Saccharomyces cerevisiae S288C: one gene and its partner. Changing the gene in region 2 together with the main gene of any one other region gives a genetic interaction. Each region holds a gene or a part of one and is shown on either strand. Other genes may lie near its edges.

What was found.
Region 1: mutations in VHR1 (region 2) and NQM1, at least one of them in a single copy, are lethal or impair growth when combined (synthetic haploinsufficiency), as found in Saccharomyces cerevisiae (one study listed by BioGRID).

What each region holds. Positions count from the first base shown.
Region 1 is NC_001139.9:567,701-584,273, forward strand, and holds NQM1 (sedoheptulose-7-phosphate:D-glyceraldehyde-3-phosphate transaldolase NQM1), read right to left. Parts: upstream 13,737-16,573; coding exon 12,735-13,736; downstream 1-12,734. Other genes in the region: YGR039W (uncharacterized protein), read left to right, coding at 7,188-7,499; mitogen-activated serine/threonine-protein kinase KSS1, read left to right, coding at 7,698-8,804; BUD9 (Bud9p), read left to right, coding at 9,787-11,430; MTE1 (Mte1p), read left to right, coding at 11,776-12,591; RME1 (Rme1p), read right to left, coding at 15,290-16,192; YGR045C (uncharacterized protein), read right to left, coding at 16,234-16,573. UniProt on the Saccharomyces cerevisiae protein: Transaldolase is important for the balance of metabolites in the pentose-phosphate pathway.
Region 2 is NC_001141.2:243,472-261,094, forward strand, and holds VHR1 (Vhr1p), read left to right. Parts: upstream 1-6,519; coding exon 6,520-8,442; downstream 8,443-17,623. Other genes in the region: YRB2 (Yrb2p), read right to left, coding at 1-273; ARC15 (Arc15p), read right to left, coding at 527-991; U1 snRNP complex subunit SNP1, read right to left, coding at 1,186-2,088; YIL060W (uncharacterized protein), read left to right, coding at 2,921-3,355; YIL059C (uncharacterized protein), read right to left, coding at 3,079-3,444; RGI2 (Rgi2p), read right to left, coding at 4,431-4,925; YIL055C (uncharacterized protein), read right to left, coding at 8,571-10,454; YIL054W (uncharacterized protein), read left to right, coding at 11,072-11,389; glycerol-1-phosphatase GPP1, read left to right, coding at 11,644-12,396; 60S ribosomal protein eL34 RPL34B, read right to left, coding at 12,755-13,083, 13,556-13,592; and 3 more. UniProt on the Saccharomyces cerevisiae protein: Transcription factor that binds to the VHRE consensus sequence in promoters of VHT1 and BIO5, and regulates their biotin-dependent expression.

The DNA of each region.
Region 1 (16,573 bases), on a different chromosome or scaffold from region 2:
GATAATATACTAGTAATGTAAATACTAGTTAGTAGATGATAGTTGATTTCTATTCCAACAGAAGGAGATAAAAATTTCAAAATGTTTCTATGATAAATTTATAATGAATTTATAATAATGTTTTGGGCTGTTTCCCTTTAGATTATTTAGCTTATCGTACATAATCGCACATAATCAGACTCTTTATTATATATAATTAAATATTTCGAGATTTACATACTAGTGGTTACTTAAAAGTGTAATCGCAAATTATATCAGAAATGAACAAAGATACGCAGTCCAAATTATTGACAACAACCAGCATATGTACTTAGTAATATTTTATGAAGTTACTAAATCAAGATTAGAAACGTAAAAATAGAATAACATGATCAAGTTCAAGTCTGAATTTCCTTTAATATTTGGATAAGTAAATTCACTACGTGACATGATTGGTTGGTGCCAACATAACACAATTTTAACATTATGTAATCTACAGGATAAGTAGCATTCTGTGTAACAAATTGTAGTAAGTCTGGCAAATCTCTACTCTCTTAAAGGTATAAGGATTGTCCAGATACCCGATATTACTAGAGGCCGTCATGTATAAAATGTGGTAACGTAAAATATACACTTAACAGAAAGTTAAAAAAGGTTAAGTTATACGTGGCTTTCTCCTTTTTTCTTTTCAAGTACCTACCTGCTGTTAATTAATAGTTAATATTGATCACGAGAATAACAGATCTTCATATACAGTATAAGAGAGATCTATAAAACTAAAAATGGATAGATTTTGATGAAATTCGTGGGCCGATATACTCTTCAGTTTGTCATTCATGATTTATTATAATATAGACTTCATAAGTGAACTTTGTAGTTTCTGGTGATTACTATAGCGATACTTTTCGAATAGTCACAACAAGAGCTTCTGCTTCACGTTTTTTGGAAACAAAAGACTGAGGAGGGGCTAAATATAAATACTGATTCATATTACGAAAGGAAATAAAAAAATAACTATATGTAGATTTATATTAATATTGTATAATTGCAGTCCTTGTATTTGAAGAGAATGTGGATTTTGATGTAATTGTTGGGATTCCATTGTGATTAAGGCTATAATATTAGGTATGTAGATATACTAGAAGTTCTCCTCGAGGATTTAGGAATCCATAAAAGGGAATCTGCAATTCTACACAATTCTATAAATATTATTATCATCATTTTATATGTTAATATTCATTGATCCTATTACATTATCAATCCTTGCGTTTCAGCTTCCACTAATTTAGATGACTATTTCTCATCATTTGCGTCATCTTCTAACACCGTATATGATAATATACTAGTAACGTAAATACTAGTTAGTAGATGATAGTTGATTTTTATTCCAACATACCACCCATAATGTAATAGATCTAATGAATCCATTTGTTAGTTAATAGTTTAAATGTTTTTATCGGAAGAGGTTTTGTCATCACATCAGCAATGTTCTTCTTGGTCTCGATGTAGTATACGTATAAATTATTACCTGATACTTCATCTCTAAGTCTCATTGCCTTTGTGCCAAAAAATCTGTTTCTAAATTTCTCTTCATTTGTAGACTTAATTATACTGATCGTTGATCTACTATCAGTAAGTAAGCCTTTAATAATTGGTTTCTTGTTAAGTTCTTGCACAAGGTGACTGAGGTTATTCAATAGCGGAATAGCTTCACTGACTGCGTGTATTTCTGCTTCTGTAGTTGAAGTGCATGTTAACGAAGCCTTTGTCGACTTTCCTCCAATCACTTTTCCGTTGAGTAGGAAAATGTTACCAATTTGTGACTTGTAATATGGTTGGTTACCATATGAAGCATCGCTTATTGCGACTAGTTTATTATCTGGCTTGGTAGGTTTGTTTTTGTGCCATATTAATTGTTTATCTCTAGTGTCCCACATGAATTGTATTAACTCATATGTCATGTCTAAAACTTGCCTAGAGGGGAATAGTATATGTTGAGCAAGTGTGTTGATGTAGTATAGTAAGTCAAATCTAAATTTATATCCAACATATGAAGCTAGACCAATCAACTTTTGCATTTCATGTACTTTCTCTTTGTATTCATCTTCATCTATTTCTAGTTCATCCTGGTCTATATAATGACCTGGTTGACCTGGAGCTCTAAGTTTCTTTCCTTTTGGGTTCAAAGGTACGTTTAGTTTGGGTAATTTTTCTGTCAAGGATTTTTCCATACCTAATTTCATGTACTTGCTTCTTTGATATTTGATCTCTAATCCAAGTATGTCGTACTGAATTTCGTTATCACTTTCACCCAGATTTATTATCTTTGTATCGTATTGTTTCTTGAGTGTTGTTATGATTTTCTTATTTGCATTTAAGTCTTTGCTGAATAATATCATATCATCAACGAATAAGCAAATTGTTACTTGACTATTCTTAAATACGCATGACCATCCGCGAACTTCTTGCATGTCGCAACAATTTATTAAATATGATTTAATGGTTTCATACCAGTTTGCACCACTTTGTTTCAAACCATAGAGTGATTTTCTCAAACGTAGTAATTTATCATTCAAACCTAAATGTGGTGGAGGTCTTATGTATAATTCTTCTTTGATATCAGCATATAAGTAAGCAGAGGATATGTCCAGCTGTGTGATATAATAGTCGTTGTCTAATGCGATTGACAGTGACGTCATCAGTGCATAGTGATGTACGGTATTGGATTGCATATCAGAATCATATGTATCGGGGTGTTGAATGTCGCCTCTTGCAACAAATCTAGCTTTGTGTGTACCATCACGTTTCTTGTTAAATATAAACATTGAGTTTATTACTTTTTTAGGATCTATGTCATTTCTATCATAATATTTGTTTGTATCCCAAGTGTTCATTTTCAATAGTTGGCTAATTTCTTTATGATAAGCTTCAACATATCTGTCTTTTTCTTTGTTGTCTTTATTATATGTAATTGCTTCATCATATCTTAAGGTCGTTCGAACTGGTTTGATCGATTTCACTCCTTTTATTGCTGCAATTAAATTTATGCGTTTCTTCGATCTTGGTGGTTCCAGACTTCTCATATTCTTATTATTCCATGTGTCTCGGGATACCTCAATTTCAGTTTCATTATCTTCTAATGATCTTTTCTTACTTTTGGTAGTAGTCAGAACATTAGAATCATCCATACCACCCAAACTGGAATTAGTCTGACGAGAGTGTATGTGTGGAATATCTTTTGAAACATCAGAAGTGTCCGTAGGAGATTTATGGGTTAAGTCAGGAAGTGGGAGGTCGTCAAGAATAGAATCAGCCGTAACATTTTTTGAGGATTTGTCAGGCATTATATTAGGAGTCGCATGGTCAGAAGATCGATATTCTGGCGGATCCGTATCAATGGAGGGTGTATTATCACATACAGCCTTTGTTTCTATGGAGATGATGGGAGTAGTGGATTCACTGTTGGACGAACGGTCATCTATTGAGGGCGTACTATTTGTAGTCCTGTATTTGATATTTGTATCACTATTTCGTTGAATATATGGTTCCTCCGTACCACCCAAACGTGTAGTTTTGATGTTTTCAAGTCCATAATTAACTCTATCCTGTGAGGTCAAATCAATCATCTCATTGGTACTACCAGGTCGGTTTTGGTTTCGTGCAGTGAAGGTAGACGAGTGTCTAGGTGAAGTAGTATCTGATTCAACGGTACCACCCATTTCGGTACTCTCTTTATTAATGATATGGGGTGTACGAGATCGTATAGTAGATGGAAGAATATTGTATTCAGATATGTCGGCATCAACTTCTTTTGGTGCACGTACTTTTTGGACTGGTTCCTTGTCTAATTGTAAAGGGTTTATTGATTGGGACGAGAAGTCGTTCACTAGAGGATCAGAGTTTATTTCAATCTCCGATTGATAGTCATGATCAGATTCTGTATTTTGATCATATGACTGCTCTGTTTCATTTTGTTCAATAAAAGATTGGTTATGGGCTGTTAAACGATTGAGATCATCATCAAAAGTGAGTGTATCGTAGTCGAACTGGTCCAATTTCGTTTGCTTGTTTTGTAATATAACGTAATTGGTAGTATCTACTGTCTTTTTTAATGATGGAAGATAGATAATATAGCCATAAGAGTTTCGTGACGGATGTAAGGCGTAACCTGGAATGCCACGAGGATGTATTTTCGAGTCGGGATTATGGTTGTTAACTATAACCGGTTGACCGAAAGGTAGTATAGTAGTAATGTCCAGTCCAGCTAAACCTGCATGTTGTCTTGCAGATTTATCGTTTTTTTGGTGAGACTAATGAATTTCTGATTATAGTAGAAAATTCGACTGCTGAGAACCATAGATGATTTGGTAGACCACTGCAATGAAGCAGTGTGCGACAATCGTTTAATAAAGTACGATTTAATCGTTCAGCGACACCGTGTGCTCTAGAATCTGCCGTGGTTGTATAGCATGCAGTAATACCTCTGTTCGTAAAGAACTTATGAAGAGTTTTGTTAGTGTACTCGGAGCCACGATCCATCTGGATAACTAGAACGCGAGCATTGAATTGGTTCTTAATAAATGCTAATATCGATGTAAAAACATTGAGGATAGATTCTTCACGACGGTCGTGTAATGGGTACACCCATTGGAATCTGGTTTTCTCATCTGTAAACGATATAAAGTAAGAAGGTGCACTTTTCGGTAAGTGATGTACAGGACCAAATATATCGGTGTGCAAGTACTGAAAAGGCTCATATGATTCTTGGTACTTTAGTCGTGATCCTTTGACATGTCTATGTTTCGTGCTTTTGCCGATTAGACAGTCAGGACATTGATATGTGCTAGCGTTAGACCATTCAATATCCGATTCCTTCAAATATGTAACTGCATTCTTCTTAAGAGACTTCTGAATACTTCGGAAGTTAGCATGTCCAAGCATTCGATGTATTAACGGATATGGATATTTATTTACGCTTTTGCTTTTGTTGACGTTGTTTATTGTTAGCTTTGAAATGTGCGAAGGAATTAGGTATTTTTTAGATAACCAGTAAAAGTCTCCATGTTTGACTATGGGAGCTAGTACTGTACCATCCGATCTTTCTAAAGTGTTTCTGGTAAAGCAGGCAGTAATATTTTGATTAGCCAGCTCACTCAAACTTAATAGATCATAGGCTATGTTTGGTGTGTGTAGTGCTTTTATTGATGTTTTGGTGCCGTTCTGAAAGTTGAAGTGAAGATTACCAATGGCATTTATAGGAATGTCTTGTTTTTGAGCATCGACTATGTTTATTTCAGAATTGGGTGTTGCATGGTGTAAATAATGGGCTGATCTGACAAGCGTTTGCGAAGCTCCTGAATCAATAAGAAGGTGATCAGGTAGTTCGTCATTCGAGTCTATTGTGTGTGTTGGCTTAGATTCTTTCTGTTGCTGGCCTAAGACTAAGTTCGTCGTCATCGCTTAAGTATTGTGATGAAACGGTTGATTCATTAATGTGATCATTGTTCACCCTTGAGAATTTACTAGATGTAGCAATATTGTGAGCTTTTGCTGCTCTTGGTTTTGAACTATTTGTTCTATGATAATTACGAGTTGTAACCTTTGTGTTAGTCGTGTTTGGAGATGTGCGAGAAACATTTTTGTATTCGCTGTGTTGTTTGTATTGGGACGGTTTATTTAGATTCATGATTTTATTTTCGTCATATATTAATTGAATTTCAGCGAATAATTGGGAAAGTTTCATGTTCGTTTTGGTACGATATTGATTACGTAGGTATTTGAAGTCACCGGATAGACCTTTAAGTATTAGTTGACAGGCCAATCTGTCGCTAACATTGATATTGTTTTCTTTTAGCCTCTGAATGATCGTACTGACTGTAATTTCAAATGTATCAGCAGATGTACTTCCGTCGTACTCAAGGTTGGCAAGAGCTATCCAATCCTTTAATTCTTGATTGTTAGTTTGCATTTTGGACACACTTTTACAAAGGACTGTAAGGATGTCAGCATAATTAATTTCTAAAATTTGTTTTACCCATGTTGGCAATAAATGAAATGGGGCAAATGCTTGGAAGGTATTGTATATATACGCATGTTCTTCATAAGTCATTTGTCTTTTGATTTCACCCTGGTCATTTGGAATGATGTCACCGAGATTAGAGTTCTTCAAAAATCTGATGTAAAATTTAACCCATGTAGAAAAGTTTTCTTCTGATGTTAAAGTGTGTGGTGGTAAGACGTTATTTCCCACCTTTGTCTTAGCTTGAGGTATTTCAGAGTGTTGATTTTTTAAATCGATTGGATCAGGTGAGGAAGTACTCAGTGGTGGGATATACTGTGGCAACGGATAGTGTGGGTCCGGTTGATAATACGCAGGTGACGTTTGATAATGTGAACACGTCATCATAGATGGTTGTTGGTAATGTGCCCAGTTAGAGGCCATAGCTTTGTTTGGGGTCATCATGCCGTGCTGTTGGTACTGTCCATTCTGTGGAGGTGGTACTGAAGCAGGTTGAGGAGAGACATGATGATGGTTCTCTGGAACAGCTGATGTCCCAGGTGTTGTCTCTTGTTGAGAATTAACCTTAGTGGAATCTCTATCAAATTCCGGTAAATTGGAAGCTGAAACGGCTAACGGATCTTGATTTTATGGGACTTCCTTAGAAGTAACCGAAGCATAGGCGCTACCATGAAGAGAATGTGGATTTTGATGTAATTGTTGGGATTCCATTTTTTATAAGGCGATAATATTAGGTATGTAGATATACTAGAAGTTCTCCTCGAGGATTTAGGAATCCATAAAAGGGAATCTGCAATTCTACACAATTCTATAAATATTATTATCATCATTTTATATGTTAATATTCATTGATCCTATTACATTATCAATCCTTGCGTTTCAGCTTCCACTAATTTAGATGACTATTTTTCATCATTTGCGTCATCTTCTAACACCGTATATGATAATATACTAGTAACGTAAATACTAGTTAGTAGATGATAGTTGATTTTTATTCCAACAGTATTTATGTTTTGTCATTCTTTTCTACATAATCTTGAAACTAGGTAGATCTACAATTGAAAAGTAAATACTAACATTATTTACTAAATTTAAGTTAGAAATCGGCACGAAAAAAATTTGACAGATTACGAGAGTCCAGCCAAAATATGAGTATATTACTATTTCCCCTTGGTGAAAGAAATGAAAGATGTTATTTTTTACCGGCTTAGTAATACTGAGCTACTTACTTGGGGGAAAGAAAGATTGGCTACTTATTATGTATGAAGCCTCAGATTACCTTGAATTCCTCAACCGTTTGAGCAGTATGCTCTTCAAATTCGAACTTTTTGAACATCTTTCCTCCACATTCCTGATTTTTTCACATTCAAAACGCGCTGTGAAGCTGTTAGAAATTTACAGATCGAGGCATATTTCTATATATAATGTATTTTTATTAAGACACCCAAAGTACTTCCAATCTGTAGATATTGCACTTTATCTGACCAGAAGCCAGACTTGAACAGTTACATATTGTGCTTTGCAGTCGTTAAATTTCCCGAACTGTTTTCGTATTTTTTTTTCTTTTCCTCTTTTCCACTGGATCAGATCAAAAGCCGACTAAAAATTTGGCAATTTAAAGAAAGCATCTTTTAAAGATAGAAAAGGTTATTTCAACAAAAAAGTATCTTTTCTTCACTTTTCTTTCAACAATTCAAAGATGGCTAGAACCATAACTTTTGATATCCCTTCCCAATATAAACTCGTAGATTTAATAGGTGAGGGAGCGTACGGAACAGTATGTTCAGCAATTCATAAGCCTTCCGGCATAAAGGTAGCTATCAAGAAAATACAACCGTTTAGCAAAAAATTGTTTGTTACAAGAACTATACGTGAGATCAAGCTTTTACGGTATTTCCATGAACACGAAAACATAATAAGTATATTGGATAAAGTAAGGCCAGTATCCATAGACAAACTAAACGCTGTTTATTTAGTCGAAGAGTTGATGGAAACCGATTTACAAAAAGTAATTAATAATCAGAATAGCGGGTTTTCCACTTTAAGTGATGACCATGTTCAATACTTTACATACCAAATCCTCAGAGCCTTAAAGTCTATTCACAGTGCACAAGTTATCCATAGAGACATAAAGCCATCAAACCTGTTACTAAATTCCAATTGTGATCTCAAAGTCTGCGATTTTGGACTAGCGAGGTGTTTAGCTAGCAGTAGCGATTCAAGAGAAACATTGGTAGGATTCATGACGGAGTACGTCGCAACGCGATGGTACAGGGCACCCGAGATAATGCTAACTTTTCAAGAGTACACAACTGCGATGGATATATGGTCATGCGGATGCATTTTGGCTGAAATGGTCTCCGGGAAGCCTTTGTTCCCAGGCAGAGACTATCATCATCAATTATGGCTAATTCTAGAAGTCTTGGGAACTCCATCTTTCGAAGACTTTAATCAGATCAAATCCAAGAGGGCTAAAGAGTATATAGCAAACTTACCTATGAGGCCACCCTTGCCATGGGAGACCGTCTGGTCAAAGACCGATCTGAATCCAGATATGATAGATTTACTAGACAAAATGCTTCAATTCAATCCTGACAAAAGAATAAGCGCAGCAGAAGCTTTAAGACACCCTTACCTGGCAATGTACCATGACCCAAGTGATGAGCCGGAATATCCTCCACTTAATTTGGATGATGAATTTTGGAAACTGGATAACAAGATAATGCGTCCGGAAGAGGAGGAAGAAGTGCCCATAGAAATGCTCAAAGACATGCTTTACGATGAACTAATGAAGACCATGGAATAGTATTCACAAGAACATTTCTGCCATACTTCTAAAATTTCCCTATATTCAGCTTAGCAGTGACACGTTGTGGTCTGTAGGTCAATATGTAAGTAAGAAACTTCAACTCACATATGCACGATGCATGCCAATGGAAAAATGCAAGGAACGAAATGGCGCCACGGCAACAAGTTTTTTTTTTTCGCCAGCAGAAGTACACGAAATGCGGCTTCATGAGCCTCTTCACTGCTTTGCCTAAACGGGAAATGCAGAGAAAAACCAGCCATCGCGTGTGCTTGGAGAGCTGACGCGACTGTAATCAAAGAGGCGATATCAACACCTTTTATCCAGCACTATTCAACAGTGAATGGGCTCCCAAGTAAGTCTTGGCATTGTGCTTTCTATTCTTAAGTATTAAGTAGAAGTTTTGTTTACTGGGTTTGTTTATTCCTGGCTAGATGTTCGCATTCGTTTTCTAGTTGACCATATTTACCAAATATTCACAACTAATACCCAGCCAAGGTAGTCTAAAAGCTAATTTCTCTAAAAGGGAGAAAGTTGGTGATTTTTTATCTCGCATTATTATATATGCAAGAATAGTTAAGGTATAGTTATAAAGTTTTATCTTAATTGCCACATACGTACATTGACACGTAGAAGGACTCCATTATTTTTTTCATTCTAGCATACTATTATTCCTTGTAACGTCCCAGAGTATTCCATTTAATTGTCCTCCATTTCTTAACGGTGACGAAGGATCACCATACAACAACTACTAAAGATTATAGTACACTCTCACCTTGCAACTATTTATCTGACATTTGCCTTACTTTTATCTCCAGCTTCCCCTCGATTTTATTTTTCAATTTGATTTCTAAAGCTTTTTGCTTAGGCATACCAAACCATCCACTCATTTAACACCTTATTTTTTTTTTCGAAGACAGCATCCAACTTTATACGTTCACTACCTTTTTTTTTACAACAATTTCATTCTTCATCCTATGAAATGACGAAAATAACCAGAGATGTTTCGATAACGACAGAAAATTCAAAATCCACATCTGGATCGGCAACGGCTTCATCCGCATCTTTACCTGAGAACGACCACCCAATATTCCATCAACCGCGAGCAAGAATAAGATCTGGTTCGCTGTTCATCGAAGGATCTGATTCATTTCCATCATCAGAAGTGAAGTCATACAATGTTTATATTGATGATAGCAAGTATAGTGAAATCCTCAAAGGAGATACAAATTCAAGTAGTACTGATGGTAAACAAGTCTTTGAAGATGCTAGAGATGACAATTTCCATCAGGAATCACATAGAGATCTAGAGGATTCAATTTTAGATTTAGTACGACGAGATCCAGAAGTAGCAGCATTCCCTTTACCTCCGCCAAATTCAAATGAGAGGAACAGAAATTCCTCAAACGGGTCTTCCGCTGAAACTAACCTAAATGGACACAGCAGCAGCGGTACCATCTCTACTTCGGTGCTGTTGAATATGGGTTCGGCAGAAAAGCACGCTGGGACGACCAGAGGAGATCATATGGAATCATCTTCAATGAAATCCTTCGAGAAACTGGGAACCAGACCTTCTTCTTTATTCTATCCACCACCCGAAGGAACTGCGCCGTACCAGGGACCAAGGGCTACCGTCTCCGGAAATAAGTCTACAAGGCAAACACAAGGTACATACTCATTTCCTTCTATGCGGTATGGTGTAGATCTTGTTTCTCCTGTGGAAGGGGCTGTTGATGTAGCAAAAAGCAGAGTTCCTAACAGCACGCTAAATGGTACTTTTCCCGATAAAGCGTTTATCCCACATGAATTTCAAATTCCTAAAAAGGCCTGGAACAGAATACCAGCGAATAAGTCCACTAGCCTCAAAACCCCAAGAAACCATTCCCTATTAATTGACATATTAAAGCCTTTTGAAGCAGCTGACCTTGCTAATGACCAGCGAAGTTCTTCCGCTGTTTTAAAAAATACAGTGCATTCTAATGGGCAGTATAATCCAACTAATGAAACCTCTGGAACTCGAATGCAAGATCAAAGGCAGAAGAATACCAACGAAATTGATTTAGAGAAAATTCCTAATCCTCAAGTCCCTCTTGGTATCGCAATGGACACCATGCGTAGTCCAAACCAACTACACGAAAAGGAATACGAAAGTAATATAGAAGCTGGTTTAGCTTCTGGGGTCGGAAAAGGTGACAATAGTATTAAGCAACATCAATATAAAAAAATTCCTCAAGAAATTGATCGAGATCAGCAATTAAGTTTTCAAATGGAAACAATGCCCATTCAAAGAATAGATTCCTCCTCCATACGTTCATTTGATTCCCGAATATATGGCTTCTCCGAGATTTATAGTATTCCAAGGGTTATAACTACACTGTGCATCTGCCTTTTTGTTCCGCCCTTATTCTTTTTCTTTTCAATCAATGGAAATAATGGCGTTTCAAATTATAGATTAATGAGAATGATAATGAATTATGAACATAGAATCGGCCTCCTCAAAGGGTTTGAATGGGACATTGACGTACAATGGTTCAGGACATTGTGCTTTGTATTAGGATGTATAGAGATGTTAGCTATCTTTGCTAGCATAGGAATAGGATTTGGTGTGGGAATAATAAGAGAGTAACTCCATGCTGGACTTACTCGTCGAAGATTTCCTGCTACTCTCTATATAATTAGACACCCATGTTATAGATTTCAGAAAACAATGTAATAATATATGGTAGCCTCCTGAAACTACCAAGGGAAAAATCTCAACACCAAGAGCTCATATTCGTTGGAATAGCGATAATATCTCTTTACCTCAATCTTATATGCATGTTATTTGCTCTTATAATTGGTCTCTATTTAGGGAAAAAAGTCGGTTTGAGAGCTTCTCGCGATGTGAAATCTCAATTTGAACTGCACGCCAAAGCTAGCCCATTTCACGAACACCAGAAAGAAGAAATCCCCAAGGATCGCATGACAGAGTATGCTCTCTCATATCGTTGAGTATGAATGCCAATACACTGATCAGCTTTACAAGAAACGTAAAATCTGGCACGATGGTAGACTGAAATACTTTCAGTTAAACAACAGATTCATGCTTTATACGGAAAAGGATAACGTTTTGTTAGCTAGTGAATTTAAAATAAATTCAAAAGAGCTGAAAGCAATTCTAAATCCAGAAGGTTTTGATATTGAAGAACATAGGATTTTTAGTCAGTTTTTGGTGATTATTTCAAATATTATTGAGGAGTACGATAGAGATATTCAAGTGGCAGCAACGCATGTTAGGGCATATCCTTCAAATTTGTCGGTGCAAAAACAACGCCCTCTTATCTCAGACAATGCACCAAGTTTGAATCATATCTCAACTGCGAGAGAAGTTCATTCGAACATAAAAGTCACAACTCCCAATCGCAAGCAGACAGAGGACAATGCCACCAAGGGAGGATTCAACATCAGCAAACTTACTCTGAAGGTCAATAAGCCTTTCAAGAAGCCCAAGAGGATATTAAGTACTAATGTGGTAAATGAATCAAATAGACCGAGCATAAGGAGCCAAAAGATTCAGGAAGTGACACCACAACTACACGAAACAAACACAAGCACTAAAGTGCAGACAGCCGGAAAAGTTGCGTTGAATAATGATAATATTGCGCAAGGTAATTACGCCACGATTACCGAAGAAGCTAAAGTCAGAGACGGTTCCGACAGAAAGAAAGATATGGCGAACCTATCCAAAAGTGGTAAAAGGAGAGTGGGCGGGATACGAAGAATTGTTCACGAACCCCTCGGAATTTGATTATACGTCAGAATTTTAATGAATATATAAGTCTGTACACTATGCTATGCACATATACTCAAACAAATTCAATACTAAGTACCGAAAAGGAAAGTGGTATATATATATTTATATATATAAGTAGGTACCTCTACTCTTAATGATCACATTTTTTCTTCAACCAGTTTGTACAGTGCTTCAATGTCTGCGGAGAATTTTCTGATACCATCTGATAGTTTTTCTGTAGCCATTTGATCTTCGTTTAAAACATATCTGAAATGAGGCTCGTCGTTGATAAAAGAGACTTTTTCGACGCCTTCTTCCTTAGCACTCTCAGAATTCAATTTGTTTTCAATAGGATCTGTTGATTCATATAACTGTTCTAGAAGGTTCAGTGGGAGAGTCATATTATCAATACCGGCTAACGCCTTCAATTCATCTAAATTCCTGAAAGAAGCCGCCATTACCTCAGTTGCATAACCATGCCTCTTATAGTAACTGTATATCTTCTTAACAGAAAGAACACCGGGATCAGTTTCTGCAGTATAGTCTTTGCCTGAAAGGGCCTTGTAAAAGTCCATAATCCTTCCAACAAATGGGGAGATCAATGTGACATTTGCCTCCGCACAGGCTACTGCTTGCGTAAAGGAAAACAGTAATGTCATATTACAATGAATACCATGCTTTACTTCCAATTCTCTAGCAGCTTGGATACCCTCCCACGTAGAAGCTATCTTGATCAAGACTCTTTCTTTAGGTACTCCCGCATCTTTATATAGTTTGATGATGTGGAGAGCCTTCTTCACCGTCGCCTTCTTATCAAAAGATAACCTTGCGTCTACTTCAGTGGAAACCCTTCCTGGGACTACCTTCAAAATCTGGGTGCCGAATTCCACCAAAATCTTATCCATGGCGTTCTCGATTTTCTCATGATCAGTTTTGCCATGCTTTCTACCATATTCAACGGCAGCGTCGATAAACCTCGCATATTTCTCCAACTTTGAAGCAGCCAATATCAGAGAAGGGTTAGTTGTTGAATCCTGTGGTTCATACTTCGAAATAGCCTCAAAATCACCCGAATCAGCAACCACATGGGTCCCGGCCTTTTTTAATTGTTCTAAAGATGAGGTAGCAACTTTTTGTTTTTTCTCTGAAGGTTCTGACATATTTAATTTCTTGTATATATGTGATTATTTCCTATTTTTTATGACTTACGCTAGCAAGAAATAATGATATACTTAGCATAAATATGACTGCGCTGCAAGATTGCTCTTCTTTTATATGTTGTCCACCCCATTCTAGATGGTTAGAAGGATCCACTATGCTCCCCTCATTCGCCCCTACTATGGAAGAAGAAGAGAAGGACAAAAGACGTATTTCGTTACAAGTCAAGAAGTCCGAGGAGTACAAGAGCCAAAATCAGAGCCAGAGCCAGAGCCAGATCAAGGAAAGTAACCTATAATTCCCCGCGTTAACAGTCCAGTCCCTCTTATTGAAAGCTTCGTCATCCTGAAAATCCTTCAACCCAGACCGACTGTTGAAAAGCCCTTTTGTGTCACAAATCCGTAACCATATTACCCTACTAACATCCGGAAATAATTGCCGCTCACTTTAGGGAAGGTCTCTAAAGGGTAATAATCGAGTTGATGAAAAAGCCGCTACCCCTATTTGAAAAATAATGAATAATGGCTTTCTGGCATGAATAGATTTAATACAATGCTGACCTTGAAAATGTGAAAAAAGAAAAAAATTAATATAAAAAAGAAAAAAAGTAGAAAAAGAAAGCTATCTTTTTTGGTCTATTCAACCAGATAGTGTGCATTTATTATATTGTCCCCCCATATTATTCATCAAGAAAATTACAAAAGAGTAATGCCATTTTTCTTCTTTTTTTTCTTCTTCTTGGCTGTACAGATCTTTTTCCATAAAATGATTGATCTAGCGATTATTGTTTCTTAATATTTTTCCTGTCCTGCAATTGTTCTCGAGGATTGCTATATTTCTCAAAGATATTTTCAGGAAATGTGCGTGCGATGTGAGTTTTTCATTGAGGGTATTTAGAAAAATAACCGCCAACGGTGAGAACATAAAAATCTTAGCTGGAAAAGAACTGCCAAAGATACTATTACCTAGAGGGTTCGTAAATACGGTTTGTGGAACCAGGGCGATGCAACTAAAAAACATATAAATTGGAAATTACGAGACTTTCGGCACAAGAAGCGCTAATATCCTACTTAAGTGGTTGAATTCTTGTATGATTAAAAAAAAAAAAAAAAACACCTGTCTTATTTTCAATTTTATGGTACTGACTTTGAGGGTACGTGAATCATCGAAGGAAACATAATTGCACTGATATGTAAACTTCCTAGTTTCAAATGTTTTCTCGGAATACCAAATAACCTCTAGCCATAAGTTTATTTTCAAACTTTTTCCTCTTAGGTGATAAGGGAGATTAGAAAAAAAGAAATATTTATTATTGAAATAACTGTCCAAAGAAGCAAAGTGAATATAGAAGAAAAAATGCGAGTACTTACGATTTTTTATTTAGCTAAGTAACCAACGTGGTGCCATATTCACGACATAGCAAGTGTCCATAGTTGCATGCGTTTTCTTTAATATCATTGTGTTTTATTTTTATTACTTTAAGAAAAAATACAGTAGCTTTCATGCCTGCACAAATTTAACAAGAGTTTCATGGGGTACATTTTTAATGCCTCAACTATTTGGTATTGTTCAAAATTTTCTTCAAACGCTTGTTAAATCTTGAATCAGCGTTGTTATGCACCATGGCCACATGTCTCTTATAGGCGTCTTTGCGCCTAAACGTTTTCTGACAGATAGGAAATGGGCAATTCAGTCCTGGATATTTTTCTACTTTTAGATTTAATGATTTCTCCATCTCTATATCAAGCTCTCCTATATGTTGGGAAGCACAATGTCTTCTCAGACCAGTTGCTTGTTGGAAACCCAATATTTTCCAGGGACATTGCTCTATGGGACACTTACACGGTCTTTCAAGGTTGAATTCGTCTAAGTGCGCGGCAAACTCAACTAACGTTGCGAACTTTTCAGAACAATGAGAACAGTGGTAACTTCCTCTTTTTGTTTGCCCTTCGGAAATTGTGCTGAGTACTTTGGGGTCGTGATATAGCTGTGCCACGTGCGATTTTTGGGGATAGCCTAGAATACACTGTGAATGGGATTGTTCTGTTGTATTGCTCTCAATAAATACAGGATTTGCTCCTTTTTGACGTCCATAATTAATAAGATCTCTGAACTCCGGATCAACTAATGACGTGATACAGTGTGTACTGTCCGCTATTTCATCCGGCCGTAATTGAGGTGCTGTACCTTCCTCAGTAGACGACGTAGAGTCATAAGCCTGTCTCTGATTTCCGGCTATAACTGTGATTGTGTTTTCTAATGATAGTAGTAAACAGTCCTCAGTGCTGGAAGGCAGGCTGGAAGGCAGGCTGGAATCCCCCTCTAAGGGTGATGCCGAATATTCTTTCATGTTTTGCCCGAAATCGTGCCAATGATAAATCGGTTGCACCTCTTGTAAAACCTCTCTGTTCCAAGACCCCTTGGCGATGGCACTGTTTTGTCCATAACACGGTGACATAAGTGCTGAAAATCCCAACTTCTAGTAAAGAATTAACAAATTCAACTGTATGACTTATAGGATAAGAACAATGTCAGTTCCAATGCGTTGACACAGTAGAAAATATATTTACTAAGAAGCAGCTTCGTCGTTGGTATAGTTTCGGTTGATCTAGATATAAATATAACTACAAATAAATGGCAGGAAAAATTGAAGCAAATGACACAGGACATATCTATCACATTGCTCCCTTTAATTTCCTCGAAGGCACTCTGGCCTTTGTTCTCTGCATAAGAAAAAGCCAGCAGAAAATACGGTGATATATTTAATACATGCCCGGCCACTTTTCTGCTGGTAAAGCCCACCGGAAAAGTTCGGATTTTCTTATCCAGTATACGCCGA
Region 2 (17,623 bases):
ATCTTCCACAATACCAGATTCTACGGTCTTTCCGTCGTCAACCTTGATCTTCTTATGCGATGGTTCTTGGTCTTTTTTACCTTCCTCCTTTTTCTCCTCATCATTTTTATTGGGTGCTTCTGATTTGTCACTCGTTTCTTCCGCTTGTTCATCCTGATCTTTTTCCCTCGGTCTCTTAGGAGTTCCATCTAGTTTATCGATAGGATTTTCAACTGCAGTTTGTTTCACCTCAGAATTTTCCCTGGCTGCATTGCCACCATTGGTCTCACTCATGCTCTCAAAGTTTATGCGTACTTGTTTTGTGCAAATTGATTTGTTGACATTTTGGTTTGAGTAGCAACTGAGCTTTTTAAAATCCAGGCATTTATATCTTCAACCTCGCCAAACAATGTCAATTTTTTTAAAAAAAAACTCAATACCTACATCACCGCGAAATGCCTGAAGTAAAAGCATATAACAAACGCGACCCTTAAAATTACGTATATATATGTATATTTCTTTATACTAAGTTTTACTGGGCAGAGTATCATACAGTTCTTCTATCCGATATATAATGAACGATAGGTGTGACACCACTGACTTGAGTAATTCTTTCCAGCCACGCAAGCAAGACACCCCCTTGTTTCTGGCCCTGAGGTACGGACATTCCTTTGTAGAGATACTTTACCAGCACGTCCCTCTGAGAATCACTCAAATTTTTGATTACATTACCAATATCGGCTTGCCTGACTTGTGTCAATGCTTCAAGGACGCTCTTAAAATATTGCTCCTTTGTTGGAGCATCTGCACTGTATGGAGGATCGGTTGTGAGTAATTGAACGGCTCCCAAAGAGTCACCACTTGTGGCAAGCGAGCGCAATTGATTCATTCGAGGTTGTAATTCTTGTAATGTGACAGTAGTTTCGTATGGTGGTACCAGATCGGCAGCGGTTAGTCTGCCACTCTCTGGATCAAATGCATCGATGTCAATTCTCCTCCAATCGGCTTCCATTGCTTGATCGTTCGCGTGTGTTGTGTTGAGTCTTCTCTGGTCTCCTTTGCTATAGTATCTTGTGTTAAATGCGGGCTGTTTTTCTCTTATTTTGTTATAGGGGCAAAGTCTGAGAAAGGGAAAAAAGTATCCAAATTAACTGATGTGCGGGTAATCATAGACAACAAGTAGCAGAGTTTAAGTATTACTTATATTCAATAGTCGGGCGCTTCTTTGGGAGCTGGTTGAGACTCTCGAGTCCGTGAGTTTCTAGATTTATATACAGAAGTAACAGCAGCAGTAGGAGTGGCGGCGGAGAGCAATGGCCTGTTTCCACGGTACCTCGCGTCCAATGTGGAACTGCCGTATCTATCAGCGCTATATGCGGAGGAAGAAGTTTCCCTGCGTGGCAGCCTGGGAGCATAATTTCTTTCGGCGGGATTTGATGTACTTGCGCTTGCAAACCTTCCTGGAAGCCTGCTGTCTCTGTTGGAATAGCCTCTGCCTCCTAGGCCGCCGCCCAATCTTCTTGGCTTGAAATATTTAACGGTTCTGCCTCTTTCTATGTCGACTATGCAGATTCTGTCTTTGATTTGGATACCTCTGTGTACTCCAATCTCCTTGAATGCCATTTTACTACTTATTGGGTCTTTGAAAACTATGAAGGCGTAGCCTTTACTCTTCTGGGTTATCTTGTCCTTGACTATCCTAATTTTTTCGATCTCGCCAAACTTAACAAAATACTTTTGCAGTTCAATTTCGTCAAGATCGTATGGTAGCCTCCCAATAAATATCGTTCTGTAGGGATCTGTGTCCTTGATATGAGGGTCAACGTTAGGATTCCAATTTTGTAGTCTCCGGTCTAACAATTGAGCATTTTTGATCTTGGAAAGTTTGATGTCTTCGTATCTTTGGAGATGGTTGTTTGGAGATCCTTCAGGAAACTCCTCCATATAGTGCTTCAAAGAGGTTGATAGTAAGTTTGCAACGCCAGTGATATTTGGATTTGTTTGTCTCTTCGCATATGGGTAATCGGTTGGTCTTTTGTAAGATAAAGGTGGCCTTGGCTTGAAAAGTCTCGACACGTCGTCTGGATACTTGGATAGATTATAATTCATCAAGGTTGAGGTGCCGATTACTTTTTTAAGGTTTCCTTTCGACAGTCGATGACCGTGCTGTGTGTCATTATCTTGCAGTTCTTTTTTTCTTCAGATGCGTTAATTTCCTACGAAGGGCGCATACAATGGTGCTGATGGGATTTATGAGCAAAACAAGTAGGCGAGCAAGACATGAACGAAATTGTAATGAAGCGTACTTCCTTTTCCCTACAACCTTAAAAAGGTCTCACTGATATATCCATTCGCAATAATGACAAGATTTTTGCATGGGACTTCTTTTTTTCTTTTGAATAAGTCGCGTTATAAGGACAAAACATTAAAAAAAAATATGTATTGATTCACTGATTTATATATACAGAAGTAAGTACCGGGGTACCTAAATATACGCATAAAAGTCTCTTTCTTTTTTTTTTTTTTTTTTTTAGCTTCCTACATTTCGTTAATAATATTATATAGATTATATTTATATTTAAGAAAAGTAATATCAGCATATTATGAATAGACAAAAAAGTCTAAGGTCAAGATTTATTAAATGTTAGATTATTAAGATTACAATTAACAACATTTGTTGTTACTTCATAAAATTTCGTTACTTCATAAAAGAACTACAGTCCCCCACTTCTAAATGAGTGGTTGTAGGGGTTCATATACCTCCCATACTGTTGGAATAAAAATCAACTATCATCTACTAACTAGTATTTACGTTACTAGTATATTATCATATACGGTGTTAGAAGATGACGCAAATGATGAGAAATAGTCATCTAAATTAGTGGAAGCTGAAACGCAAGGATTGATAATGTAATAGGATCAATGAATATTAACATATAAAATGATGATAATAATATTTATAGAATTGTGTAGAATTGCAGATTCCCTTTTATGGATTCCTAAATCCTCGAGGAGAACTTCTAGTACATTCTACATACCTAATATTATTGCCTTATTAAAAATGGAATCCCAACAATTATCTCAAAATTCACCAACTCTTCACATACATACCTGCGGTAGCAAGATAGGTACACTTTTTCTACGTTTCACGAAGGTAGCGATAGGTACCTCACTCATTGTAGGTGCGGGGGTAGCGATGGAGGTTTCTGTACCATTACCACCACAGCCACTATACTCACGTAGTGAAGTCCCTAGCGTGGAATTGTGTGGTATCGTTGCTATCTGTCGTTCGCCACCCTCGGTATATCCAACGTGCAGGCCAATATCACTCTCTAAGAAAATCGTATCAGGATTGGTACGGACAAACTCTTCATAGCCTACGTCGAAATCAAATTCTGCTAAAGCTGTGACTGTAGTTAAACCTAAAACCGCGATTATTGCTTGAAAAACTGTGGAGAAATTCATGATGGACGGTCACGTTCAGGGTCTGAGAAAACCACTCATTCCTATGTCCCATGTGGTTGGTTGCAATTTGCTGCTATATATACGACTTGGCTGTAGAGAGATCTACGTAGGATGTGTCCACTATCAAGGGGGGTTTACCAACGTTATCTTCTATTTTAAGTGCTCAAATGAAGGTTGCATTATATCCCTGGCAGTTTTCCCGGCAATTTTGCCGGCCGCTTATAATAGTCATGGTGAAAGGATTGTTGCTTGTTGTGGTTGCAACATGACAGTTGCCTACTAACTAAATAATAATCAAAGTCAGTTTCTCAACAATGGAAAACCTGTTGTGACCTTATCGAAGTAACAACATCGTATAATAATTAATCTGGAAAAAATACCATAGTTACTGCCGATACAGGTCTACGTGACTTACTGACAAACAGACTGAGTGACTACGAGTCCAGAAATTTAGTATACCATATTGTCGCTTCTTCTTATAGCCCAGCTCCAGGTCTGGATACGGTTCTGTATAACTCGTTAAGGTTTAAGTGTCCGGCAATTTTTTTGAAGTTTCATTTCTTCACTCGATGACCAAGCCGTGTGCCATCTTTTCGTTTTCTTTTTTTTCAATGTGTTTAATTATCTACAAAGAGGGCACACACAATAGAGCTGATGAGAACCCATGAGCGAAACAAGTAGAAAAGCAAGACGTAAACGGAATCATGGTGGTGTGTACATTTCTCTTTTTTTATTACACCAAGAAAGCTTAATTGGTACGTATTGTTCGTGATAGTAGCATGAATCTAGCGTGGAATTCTTTTATTTAAGGTCGCGTTGTGACGACAAAACATTAAAAAAACCACATGTGTTGATTTGTAGACTTGTATACACTCCAGTAAGAAGGTGCACACCAAAATACATGCGCATATAAATTATTTTATATAGCATGCTATATTTCGTAAATTCATAAAATTTCGTTAATTCATAAAAACAGCTCCCCAAACTTAGATGAGTGGCTGCAAGGGTTCTGTCTTGTAATCAACATCTACCATTGCGCCATCGTGTTTACATACAACTTCGACAGACACCTTGAATTTCTTGGCGTTCAACTCCGTTTCTTCGCCATAATTCCAAACAATCCGGTCAAAGGATTCCTGCTTTTTCTTATCGTGGAATTTCAATTCTGGCTTGTTGATAGCGGTTTTGATGTCCTTTAGCAGGTGCTTCTCAACATGCTGGTGTAAATGGCGAACAAACTTCTTAGAGTGCGAATTGGCAGTCTCTTTGATCTTTTCCGGATCATCATGCGCATCATGCAGGACAAAGGGTGGATAGTACTTCAGTTGGCAATGGACATGGTCGAACTCTTGATCTTCCGTCTCACCCTTTAAATATGTTTCAAAATCATGCAAATCCTCAAAAACCTTTAAGGACTCACCACTTTTTGTAGTGATGGTGGACATCTTAGGACCCTTTGCTTTCTTATCCTTTTTCGTCATTCTTATTATTTAAAATACTTTGTTATATACTGTACGTTGTTTCGTTTGCACTTAATCGTGTTTCGACAGATAGGTGAATCAAGATCTACCTTTACGCGAAAGATACGAAGAATTGAGAAGGAGGTGCAAGGGAAAAGGGCAATAGAGGATTGGGACAGCCGATGCTTATATACGGACGATTGCCAACCGCCGAAAAGGTTCAAGCCAAGAACAAAAAGTAGAGAGAATACCCCAACAATAGCATTTGATGGCTAAACGGCAGTGCCCGTTAATACTATTCAAATTATACCCCGCATTAATAATTCCTGTCCCTTTAGTCTCGTCCTTCAGCCGTATAGCCGCAAAACTTCGTTCAATGATTTCATGCCATCATTACACCGCGAGTCGTGGGTGCATTGTAGTTTATTACGAAAAGTATCTACAATACTTGCTTAAATAACCTACATTGTTTTAGGCACTATGGCCGAGTGGTTAAGGCGACAGACTTGAAATCTGTTGGGCTCTGCCCGCGCTGGTTCAAATCCTGCTGGTGTCGTTATTTTTTTATTTTTATTTTTTTTTTATCGCTTACTGATTATCAGATATCTTCGACAGCCTCACACAGATTGGTGATCACGCACCCATAATCATTTCTTCGGGCATGCTCCTATTAGCCACGGTTCGCAGAATAATCTGCGCGATGTTATTCACCAAGACCGTGGAGTCTCCTTTTCGGTGGGATCCGCTTATATCCGTATGCGTCGGTTGCTTTCTCGGGGAAAGGAAAAGGAGAAAGCCCGGATAACACGACACAAGAGTCATTCGTTATGCACGGACACAGGGAATCGTGCGGAGCCGGGGATAAGAGGCCGTGCTAATTTCCGCGGAACATCGGAATGCAGTGGACAAGTGCCCTGAGAACAAGCGGCGGGCGGGTAGCTGCCACGGAATAGGCGCCACGTTTCCGTGGGTGACTATGACTTTTGATCGATTCCATGTTGTTTTGCCCTGAATTCTGCGCCCCTCGGAGAAGTTTCTTTTCTTTTTTATCTCTTTTTCATCTCTGACCTTCGTTTCCTTTCATATAGACTACGCAGCAGAATCATGGCAGGAGCTATTAGCTGAGTGGGCAGATTACGTTTGCGCACTGTGCATTGTGACAGATTATATTTGCTTCGCTTCTCCCTCTTACTTCTTCAGCATAAGTGTAAGCCATATGTTCCCTGAAATCTTTCTACCGTCGTCTTCTCTTTTTTTTTTTTTTACTATAAATCAATGTGCTCTCTTCCATGATTCTTGCCTTTTGGATCTTCGGTACTTGTGTGGGTGAGAATGGTGTTATTGAGTCAATTCAGGTCAGCTTGGTTCAGTTCTAATCTAGCCCTTTCCCTACTATACAAATACTACTAGCCTTTTTTTTTCTCTCTCTTTCTCTATACCACTACCTCTTCCTCTTCCTTTTTTTTCTCTTCTTTTTCTATTGTCCCCATCGCATCTTAGCATAAACGCATCCGCATTCCCTTCCTACATTTTTCTTTTCTACTAGTTATAGCTTTAAAACCTTCTTTATTCTCTTTCTACCTATTCTTCTTCGTTGCTTATATCCTATACACATATGAACGGTCCTCCAACATTCACTCAATATAGAATAAATAAGTTTTCTGGGAATGGAGCAACTCATAAGATTAGAGAATTACTCAATTTTAATGATGAAAAGAAATGGAAACAGTTTTCGAGCAGAAGGCTGGAGCTGATAGACAAATTCCAACTAAGTCAATATAAGGCAAGCGAACAAGATCAAAACATAAAGCAGATTGCTACAATATTAAGAACGGAGTTTGGATACCCTGTAAGCTGCTCTAAGGAATTCGAAAAGTTAGTCACTGCTGCTGTGCAATCAGTGAGAAGGAATAGAAAACGATCAAAAAAACGCTACGCTCTCAGCATAGCCAATGGCAGTGGCGGCAATGTCAACAACAGCATCTCGTCAAATTCTACTTCTGACGACGAGATCTCTCCGTCGATCTACCAGCGCTCCAATTCGGACTTCCTGCCTAGTTCTAATTATGCTGCAGATTTCCAGTTTTCAAACAAGTTCCAGCCTCTCATGAGTCACCAGAGTCATAACGGAACCATTTTTCCAACCGTGGGCACCCAAAATGACTCATCTCCATCGGTTACTTCGACCCAACAAAAGTATAACGATATAGTCACCATGCTAGTGCACGATCTTGTTACGAATGTCGTACCCCTATCAGAACAAGCTCTCAAGGACCCATATACTGGGCCAAACCTGTCACATTTTGCTACGTCTTCACTCAGCCAGCAACCTAACATTACCACAAACATCCCGATAGATTCTACCGTGCCATTTTTCCTGAGGGAAAAGTTACTCCTACAAATCCAAAGATCAAGAACTTGTCAGGACATTTCGCAGGCTGCAGGATCCATTGATATATACGCAAATCTGGAGATTTTGGGTGAAATGTCAATCCGAATGTCTATTGCATTCGTTATCGAACGATTTTTCTCCAACTTGGTCTCTTCTTCAATGAAGTATATCACTGCCAAGACGTGCTCTCCTGAAAATCTGGCTTTGTTGTCTCAAAGACTGTTCGGTGCCGCTACAAGACATAACTTATCTCATTTCCCCGCGGCTCAGGTACAACTAAGGCTACTGTATTTGGTCATAGGTGGTATTGTCAAGGATTTTGGCTTCGACCCCACGCTTTACCCTTTAAGTGAAATCATACATCATATTGTGATGGTTCAGTATCCTTTGGCTAGTTCCTGTGCGTCAGAACCACCATCATCTTCACCTAACAAGAGGGTTAAGAGAAGCCCTCCTGTCGTTTCAAGTGACGTTATGTTGAATAATAATAACACTCTATCGAATAGAGCTACACTTTTAACTACGCTACCAATGAAGCCTCAATCGGCCAATAAAGATGTTAATCGCAGAGTGATCATTAGATTTAATGATCGCGAGCAAGCCTTTACTTTCCACCAGTTGAGCAATGGACCACCCACGGTGTCTGAAGTTTTGGAAAACTGTAAAAATTTATTTAATATTATCAACAAGAACAAGAATTTTGGTATTTTCCATAACGATAACCTCTTGAACGATGAAAGTTTGGCAAAGTTATTTGATTCCTTTTCCACGAGCGAGATTCATCTCGTAATTAAGGACATTTCCACCATTCCACTACAAGATGCAAAAATACCAGTGCCCATTACGTTGCCCAAAATGTCATGCATAGGTGAAAACCCCTCTATGCCTTCTATTCCATTGGTACCACAAGAAAAAGATGATCCAAAAAAATCAAGCTTAACTGCCTTTGATAACATCCTTAATAGGATCTCTAAATCGCCAATGAATGAAGAAAATAGCAACACTACTTTAAACACTGGCACCTCCACCTCCAACACAAATAATAATGACCACAACGAGTCTGTGCCAGCGCCATACGTTACAAAGAACAAAAATTCTTTTCAAAATGGCAATTTACCACAGCCGGTTTTCCAGCCTTTACTTTGATAAAAATACAAAACAAAATTGTCTACATACATAACTGCCTAATACACATTCTACACAATATTTTTTTCTTTTTCAATTCGCGTACATATTTATGTAAGATAAAATAATAATATCCTCTTAATCCATGCTTAGAACTGCTGCCGTTGATTTTCAAATTCATCCTCGTCAAATGGTGGCAGTTCCATTACATGAATTTTGTACCCCAGTGAATATTCCTGGTCTTGTAAGGATTCGAACGTCAAATCAGACAGCTCTTTATCGTGGAACCCAACAATGGCATTATACACAATTGTGCTAACTTTAAAGTATTTCGCCTTGCTATCACCTTCGGAGTCAGAGACGTTTCCACTTTGTGCAAAAGTAGTTGGCAAATTTCTATTAAACTCCTCTAATTCATCTTCCGGTAATTCAAACCTCAGTAGAGTTGCTTCTTCATGATCTTCATAAACCCCTACATAGAATTCCCTTGTATTATTGATAGATGTTCGAGGTCCGCCATTTGTGTATGTGCTATTATTTGCACTCCCGTTGGTGTTCTCATTTTCTGATATCTTTAGAGCGTCCATAGATTCATTGAGTAAAGATGCTTCGTTTTGTTGCTGTAGAAACTGTCTTTCCTGTAGTCTTAATAGCTTGGGGCATTTCAGTTTTATAAAATCTTTTAGAACTGTCCATCTTAGCCTTCCAAATTTTTCCAATTGTCCTTTCTCTTTAATTTCAATAACTGTGAACTTCTCTTGGTTCATTAACTCATTGAAATCAGACTCTGATAATTTCTCCAAGAATTCTATAGGTATATAGGGTGGGAAATTTATGATCTTCAGCTGCCACATACCTCTATTCGTCATTTGTTTTCTAAAGCTTTTCTCGTTAAAGATATGCTTTAATCTTTTGTGATTTATTTGAGTTTGTGAAGGTGTAATTGTTCCACCATTCTTTGCTTGGAGGGCACGGTCATCACCATTCGTACTTGTAGTGGGAATATTACCATTATTATTGGAATTTGAGGCCATGTTCAAGTTGTAAAGGGCAGATATTTCGTTATAAGAGGGATTTATCTTATTGTTCCTTAAGGAGAGGTGATGCTGCTGAGAAAGACGAGGGCCTGTGCCAGTATCTGGATTCCTGGGGCTATTATGCATGTATTTTTGAAACTGGCTTTGGTTCTGGTGATAGAAATGCCGACGACGGGGATAGTGTGTAGGGGAAGCAAGTGGACCACCAGCAGTAGCAGCAGCTGTTGGTGAAGGTAGAGTAGTTTGATAGGGCATCTGCATATTAGGTACCGTTCCCGGAGGAGCACCCAACATAGGTAGCATCGAAGTCGAAAATGGACCATGAGGCGGGGGAGCAAGAGGTGGCACACCAACAGGTACGGGAACAGGCGTGGGCAATGGCGTTATGTTCTCATTCTTTCGAAGGCTCACTTCAGGAGAAAAACTGAAAAATTGAGAAGGTGGGGTAGAAGCGGATGGTGGCTGCGGTGTCACAGATGAAACATGGCTTGCATATCGAGGAGAAATAGATCTTTTAGTTTCATCGGGAGCACTCCGGACGTCATTGTTGCTATCACTGATTTCTGGATATCGCAGTGAAGGAGAATCATTAGTGTACGGCAACAGGTAAACGAACAGATCATGATAATCCCATTGGTAGGTGTTCAAAGTAAGTAGTAAGTTTTCCAGGGACTCGTTATCTATCGAGTTCTTCAGAATGACAATGCAACTCTGAAAAGTAATAAAAGGAGGAACCATGGAAGTCATTGGAGGCAGCATTTTCACCTGTAAAATATTGGTATGGTATATGATTCCGCCTATCAAATATTTTACCTGGGCCCAAGTCTTGCCCGGAGGGAGATTATCAATCCTTATGGGAATACCATTTGACTGCGAGTACGTCTTTTTCCTAGGAGCAGCTTTTGTGCTTGCTGTTGAGCTTTCGGTCGCAGAACGGGCAACAAAGGCACTGGCTGAAGCAGCCGACTTGGCACTATAGTGTGGTTCTAGAGTCATTATAAAGCAAGCGTATTGTAAGGAGAGACAGCAAACTCTCGTGTATCAGCCAACTGAACTGGAGGCCAAGACCAATCTAAAAAAAAAAAAAAATGAAAGAAACAAGTGTGGGAGGAAGTCTTGTTAACTTAACAGTTAAGCAAGCGTAAAAACCTTTAGGAAAGCGCACGAAAGAAGGCCAACATTACGACTATGGAATAATACAATGCACACAAACAAAAGGTAACATTTGAAAAATGGAGTAGAGAATATATTCCATTCCCCTAATTTTTTGCGGGTCTTCCAGGGCTGCGAACCCATCGCTCAAAACAAGCGCAGTGTCAATTAAGACATCATTGAACTAAAACGGAAAATTTGCTTGCGCCACACACCCTGGTCAATCGTACCAAGGGATATCACTCTGTACGGGTGGGAGGAAGGCGCGGCAATTAGAATGTGTGGGTGCGGAAGCTCGCCGCTCCCATCAAGAGAGTGGAAGACGTATGGTCTGGGTGCGAAGTACCACCACGTTTCTTTTTCATCTCTTAAGTGGGATTCTTACGAAACACGTCACAGGGTCAAAAGAAAGAGAACAAAAGCAATATTGTAATTGTCTCAGTCCACGGCAATGACATGGCATGGCCCCGAAGGCTTTTTTTGTCTGTCTTCCTTGGGTCTTACCCCGCCACGCGTTAATAGTGAGACAAGCAGGAAATCCGTATCATTTTCTCGCATACACGAACCCGCGTGCGCCTGGTAAATTGCAGGATTCTCATTGTCCGGTTTTCTTTATGGGAATAATCATCATCACCATTATCACTGTTACTCTTGCGATCATCATCATTAACATAATTTTTTTAACGCTGTTTGATGATGGTATGTGCTTTTATTGTTCCTTACTCACCTTTTCCTTTGTGTCTTTTAATTTTGACCATTTTGACCATTTTGACCTTTGATGATGTGTGAGTTCCTCTTTTCTTTTTTTCTTTTCTTTTTTCCTTTTTTTTTCTTTTCTTACTCTGTTAATCACTTTCTTTCCTTTTTGTTCATATTGTCGTCTTGTTCATTTTCGTTCAATTGATAATGTATATAAATCTTTCGTAAGTATCTCTTGATTGCCATTTTTTTCTTTCCAAGTTTCCTTGTTATGAAACGTTTCAATGTTTTAAAATATATCAGAACAACAAAAGCAAATATACAAACCATCGCAATGCCTTTGACCACAAAACCTTTATCTTTGAAAATCAACGCCGCTCTATTCGATGTTGACGGTACCATCATCATCTCTCAACCAGCCATTGCTGCTTTCTGGAGAGATTTCGGTAAAGACAAGCCTTACTTCGATGCCGAACACGTTATTCACATCTCTCACGGTTGGAGAACTTACGATGCCATTGCCAAGTTCGCTCCAGACTTTGCTGATGAAGAATACGTTAACAAGCTAGAAGGTGAAATCCCAGAAAAGTACGGTGAACACTCCATCGAAGTTCCAGGTGCTGTCAAGTTGTGTAATGCTTTGAACGCCTTGCCAAAGGAAAAATGGGCTGTCGCCACCTCTGGTACCCGTGACATGGCCAAGAAATGGTTCGACATTTTGAAGATCAAGAGACCAGAATACTTCATCACCGCCAATGATGTCAAGCAAGGTAAGCCTCACCCAGAACCATACTTAAAGGGTAGAAACGGTTTGGGTTTCCCAATTAATGAACAAGACCCATCCAAATCTAAGGTTGTTGTCTTTGAAGACGCACCAGCTGGTATTGCTGCTGGTAAGGCTGCTGGCTGTAAAATCGTTGGTATTGCTACCACTTTCGATTTGGACTTCTTGAAGGAAAAGGGTTGTGACATCATTGTCAAGAACCACGAATCTATCAGAGTCGGTGAATACAACGCTGAAACCGATGAAGTCGAATTGATCTTTGATGACTACTTATACGCTAAGGATGACTTGTTGAAATGGTAATTTTCTTTTATTTTTTTGATAAAACTACTACGCTAAAAATAAAATAAAAATGTATGATTTCCCTCCATTTCCGACCAATTGTATAATTTTATATCTGCATGACTTAATAATATAATATAATACTTATAAAATACGAATAGAAAAATTTAAACCGATGTAATGCATCCTTTTCTTTGTCGTCTTCGGATGATCTGCCGTGACAGGTGGTTCGCGCAAATCAAGCTGGTTTAGAGAATTTAACACAGAAATAAAAAAGGAAGATTCAATCTTCGTTTTTGTTTTATATCTTACTATAAAAGTGTTTTTTTTTAGTACGACGAGAAGTTAGAGTAATTATAAAAGGAATGCTTATTTAAATTTATTTCTTAGACTTCTTTTCAGACTTCTTAGCAGCCTCAGTTTGTTCCTTAACGACCTTCTTAACAATCTTTTGTTCTTCAATCAAGAAAGCTCTGACGATTCTTTCCTTGACACAGTTGGCACATCTGGAACCACCGTAAGCTCTGGAAACAGTCTTGTGGGTCTTGGAGACAGTAGCGTATTGTCTTGGTCTCAAAGTGGAAATACCTTGTAGAGCACTACCACAGTCACCACACTTTGGTCTAGTAGCCAACTTCTTAACGTGTTGGGCACGCAAGATACCACCTGGGGTCTTAACAACCTTGATTTTGTTAGAACGGGTGTTGTCTGTACGTAGTAAAGAGAAAATTTTCCCATTAATGTTAGTAATCACTTCTTTATTATCCTATGATTTAAGAACTTGAGTGGGATTGCTCCATATGAAAAGTATTTCGGCGTTGCTGAATGAATATTATCTCATTTCAATCTTTCAACAGCGGAGAAAAATTCATTTTCCATTTGGGTCGACCAAGGTCTTCCACTTAGAAACTGAAGTCAACTTATTGCTGTCCACATTACTGGATACTGTTCGTTCATGCTGTCTAATGTTTTAATGTCATGCCAATATATTTGAAAGTTCTTGCATAGTTGATTCCCCTATCGATGATCTGGTTCTTCCTATTTCTAAGTGGTACGCTTCTCTAAATAGCACTCGTTCGCCTTTTAACCTCATTTTCCCACAATGAAAGTTCAAAATAAGTTCATAATAAGTTCATAATAAGTTTTCATGAAAACTCAAAAAAATAGTTCAGTAACATACATGGATTTCTTCTTCTGAAAGTAACACGTTGAGCCATTTTTAGGGTTGTTCGTTGCTAATCTATTCTCAGTTTCAATCAAAGTAAATTGAATCAAAAGAATATAACAAGTGCCAAATACTATGTACTACCCGTTATTTACTACTTACAACTAATAAGTTCATCAACTTTTACGTAGAATGCTATTGAAACATTCCAAACTTACCCACCAGCTGCGATGAAACGGCTCCTGAGAGCCCGTTACCATACCGTCTGAACGGGTGCTGGGGCCACTGACAGGAAGAGGAAGAGTTAGAATTGTTACTGGCTCCTCCCCCAGGCGTCAATTCCATCTCCTCCCAGAAGGACGGTCTCTCTGCCCAAAGGAATGAACTTTCATGGGAAGGGACAAATGAAGCGGACTATTGTCGGAAGCGGGACCTCCGAAAGCAAATGAAAGTAAAAATTCAAAAATTCAAAAAAAAAAAAGCTGAAAGGAAAACACCCAAACAACACACGGTATGTGACGACATCTGTACACCGCAAAGTTGTGACGAAAACACAGTCACAGTTTTTTAGAATTTATGATTAGAGTGTTCAAGAAAATAAGTTCCAACACGTAATAGGTTTCTACCCCTGTCTTGTAACATTGATACAAGTAGAGGGAAACTCCCCTCACATTTTCTACAACGGCAAGAAACTGATTCTGAAACTCCGTAAATTCGTTTCTTTTCTTAGTTAAAATCTTATATACGCTAAAGAATGCTACTAAAATGTTTATAAATGTACACTCCTCGGTATCGCAAGTGGAAAAAAGGCAGTAAAGAAGTTTCAATCCTTCAATTCTTTTCAACAGCGATAACTTCCATTTCTAAATCAACATTCAAAGGTAAGGAAGCAACACCAACACAGGATCTTGCAGGCTTATGGGTGTGGAAGTGTTTGGCGTATACAGAGTTGAATTCGGCAAAGTTTTTCATGTCAGCCAAGAATACGTTGACTTTGACTATATTGTCTAAAGAAGAATTACTTTCTGCTAAGATATTCTTAACGTTTTGAAAAACTTGTTCGGCCTTCTCAGAGATAGAACCTTGAACAGGCTTGTTATCTGGAGTATAAGGGATTTGACCAGACACGTACACAAAATTGTTGGCCTTCATAGCTTGGGAGTAAGAGGCGGCAGCGGGTGGGGCCAACTTGGTGCTGACCGGGGTCAATGTTGTTATACCCCTCCTCAAGACTGGAGCTGTTCTCAAAACGGAATTTCTTAAAAACATTATTGGTAATATATTTGTGTGTATGTGTTGTCCTTTTTACCTGTAAATCTCACACAATTTACTAGCTAACCTAATTCTTATGCATGTGTAAGACCCATTTAGTCATATGTATTTATATATATCAGGGGATCCATACGGTGTGTTTTTCGCTGGATGAGCGACAGAGGCGGAATCGCATCTCCGCAAATGAGAGCGTACACAGGAGCAAAGTGAATAACGTCCTTCAATGATAGAGACTTATCCAATAAGCAGCACTGGTCTTCTAAGATCACCGCCTGTGCACTTTTCTACGGGCTCTTTTAATTGTATAACATGGACAGTGATCATTGCATTTTGCATCCATAGGCATACTATGGCTTAAGGTATTACTATCTATCGCGCCTAATCTCTGGGAGTTTTGAGGCCGGTTTCGGAATCTCGGTATCTTGCGATGGGTCCAAAACGGTGTAAACAAAGCAGGGGATAGCAGCGCAGGCTTCAACATCTCAAACCTTTATATATACAAAAAGTATATCTATATATTCATCTACGGTTCTTAAAATAGTACAACAAAAGTTAACAGACATTAATTACTGTAATCAGACTAAAGCAAACCGAGCTAGAACGAACGACTGCTTACACTAGAGAAAAATATGGAGCTAAGTTCACCATCAAAAAAAACCACAACATCGCCAATAAATATACCAGGGGGGAATAGAGATAACCTAATAATCGGACCACATTCTCACAGCTTCAAGACCGATCCATTTTCAAGTAACAATAGTAGTTTGCTGTCCAAAATATCTACTAACCCCAGTTTGGAAAGCCCTTTCTCTTCGAAATCTTTACTAGATTGTTCTCCTGTACAAGCTGTAAAGAAGTCTTTAGAGTCGGAAGCAAAAACGCATAGCCTGGACGAGGAGACAAATGAACAGACTGATGTAAAGATCTTAAACATAGCAGACTTTCCCACAGATGAACTCATACTAATGATAAGTGCGCTACTCAACAGAATTATAACAGCAAACGATGAAACTACAGATGTCTCACAACAAGTGTCGGATGAGACCGAAGACGAACTCTTAACTCCAATCCTTGCTTTCTATGGAAAGAATGTTCCAGAGATAGCTGTTGTTCAGTACTTAGAGAGAATTCAAAAGTACTGTCCCACCACAAATGATATTTTTCTTTCTCTCCTTGTATATTTCGATAGAATCTCCAAAAATTATGGGCATTCTTCTGAGCGTAATGGTTGCGCAAAGCAATTATTCGTCATGGACTCCGGGAACATTCATAGATTGCTCATAACAGGTGTCACAATTTGCACGAAGTTCTTGAGTGATTTTTTTTACAGTAACTCTCGATACGCCAAGGTTGGAGGTATTTCTTTGCAAGAGTTAAACCATTTAGAATTACAATTCCTGATACTATGTGATTTCAAGTTATTGGTTTCAGTCGAAGAAATGCAGAAATATGCAAACTTGTTATATAAATTCTGGAACGACCAGTAGAATGCTGTCCTGCATATTATTCATGCCCTTCCCTTACCGTTACTCGTATTATACATATCAATTTCTGATTTACGTAACGCGTACATATCGGTTATATTTAAATAATTTAATATTCCTTTTAAATCAGTGGTTTTTCATATTAGTAGCATTTCTCCTGAAATGATAGCTATTGCAATAGAATGAAAAAAAAAACTTTTTGCCCAAATAAATCATAATCTACCGGTAAAGAGAAATTCGGTCCTTGTTCTATTCAGTATTATGCTTTCTCTTTTTTTTCCAAAATGAGAATTAAGGACGTTTCGAAAAAGTAAAAATATACCAAATGTGGAATATAAATAGGTTTATCGGCGGACCGATCTGGCTTAAAACGTAGAATCTACCAGTCCAATGTACTTTGATGAAGAACAATTGCTAAAATATACTATATATGCCTATAGATTATCCTTTTTTGTAGGCATTTGCTCACTTTTCATAGCAAAAAGTTGTCTACCAGAATTTCTTCAATATGGTAAAACCTACCGGCCCAAAGAGAATTCAAAGTACTCAAGCATTTTAGAACGAATCAAGAAGTTCACAGTTCCAAAGGCGTATTTTTCCCATTTTTACTATTTGGCTACCTTTCTATCCTTAGTCACCTTATATTTCTATCCTAAATTCCCCATCGTTTGGATCATATTTGGACACTCATTGCGCCGACTTTATGAAACGCTTTATGTACTACATTATACAAGCAATTCTAGGATGAATTGGTCCCATTATCTAGTCGGTATATGGTTCTATTCCGTACTCTTGTTAATTCTTAATATATCACTGTACAAGAACTCCATTCCAAATACGTTAAACATGAATGCTTTCATCATATTCTGCATAGCATCTTGGGATCAGTACAAAAATCATGTTATTCTGGCCAATCTGGTTAAATATTCGCTGCCAACAGGAAGGCTTTTCAGGTTGGTATGCTGTCCTCATTATCTCGATGAAATAATCATTTATTCTACTCTGTTGCCCTATGAACAAGAATTTTACCTAACACTAGTTTGGGTAATCACAAGTTTGACTATATCCGCATTGGAAACAAAAAATTATTACAGGCACAAATTTAAAGACAATCACGTAGCCCCCTACGCCATAATACCTTTTATAATCTAGTAATGTGCACACTAGGGCATTCATATACATATATATATAGACGCGGTAAAGAACCACTTTACTTTCACTATTATCACTTTACCACTAATTAGACAGCAAAGGCTCGTATACGTGTCATTAAAAACGAAGGTAAGGCCATACCTTTTTGAGGCAGTTGGAAAGAGTAAATACTGGC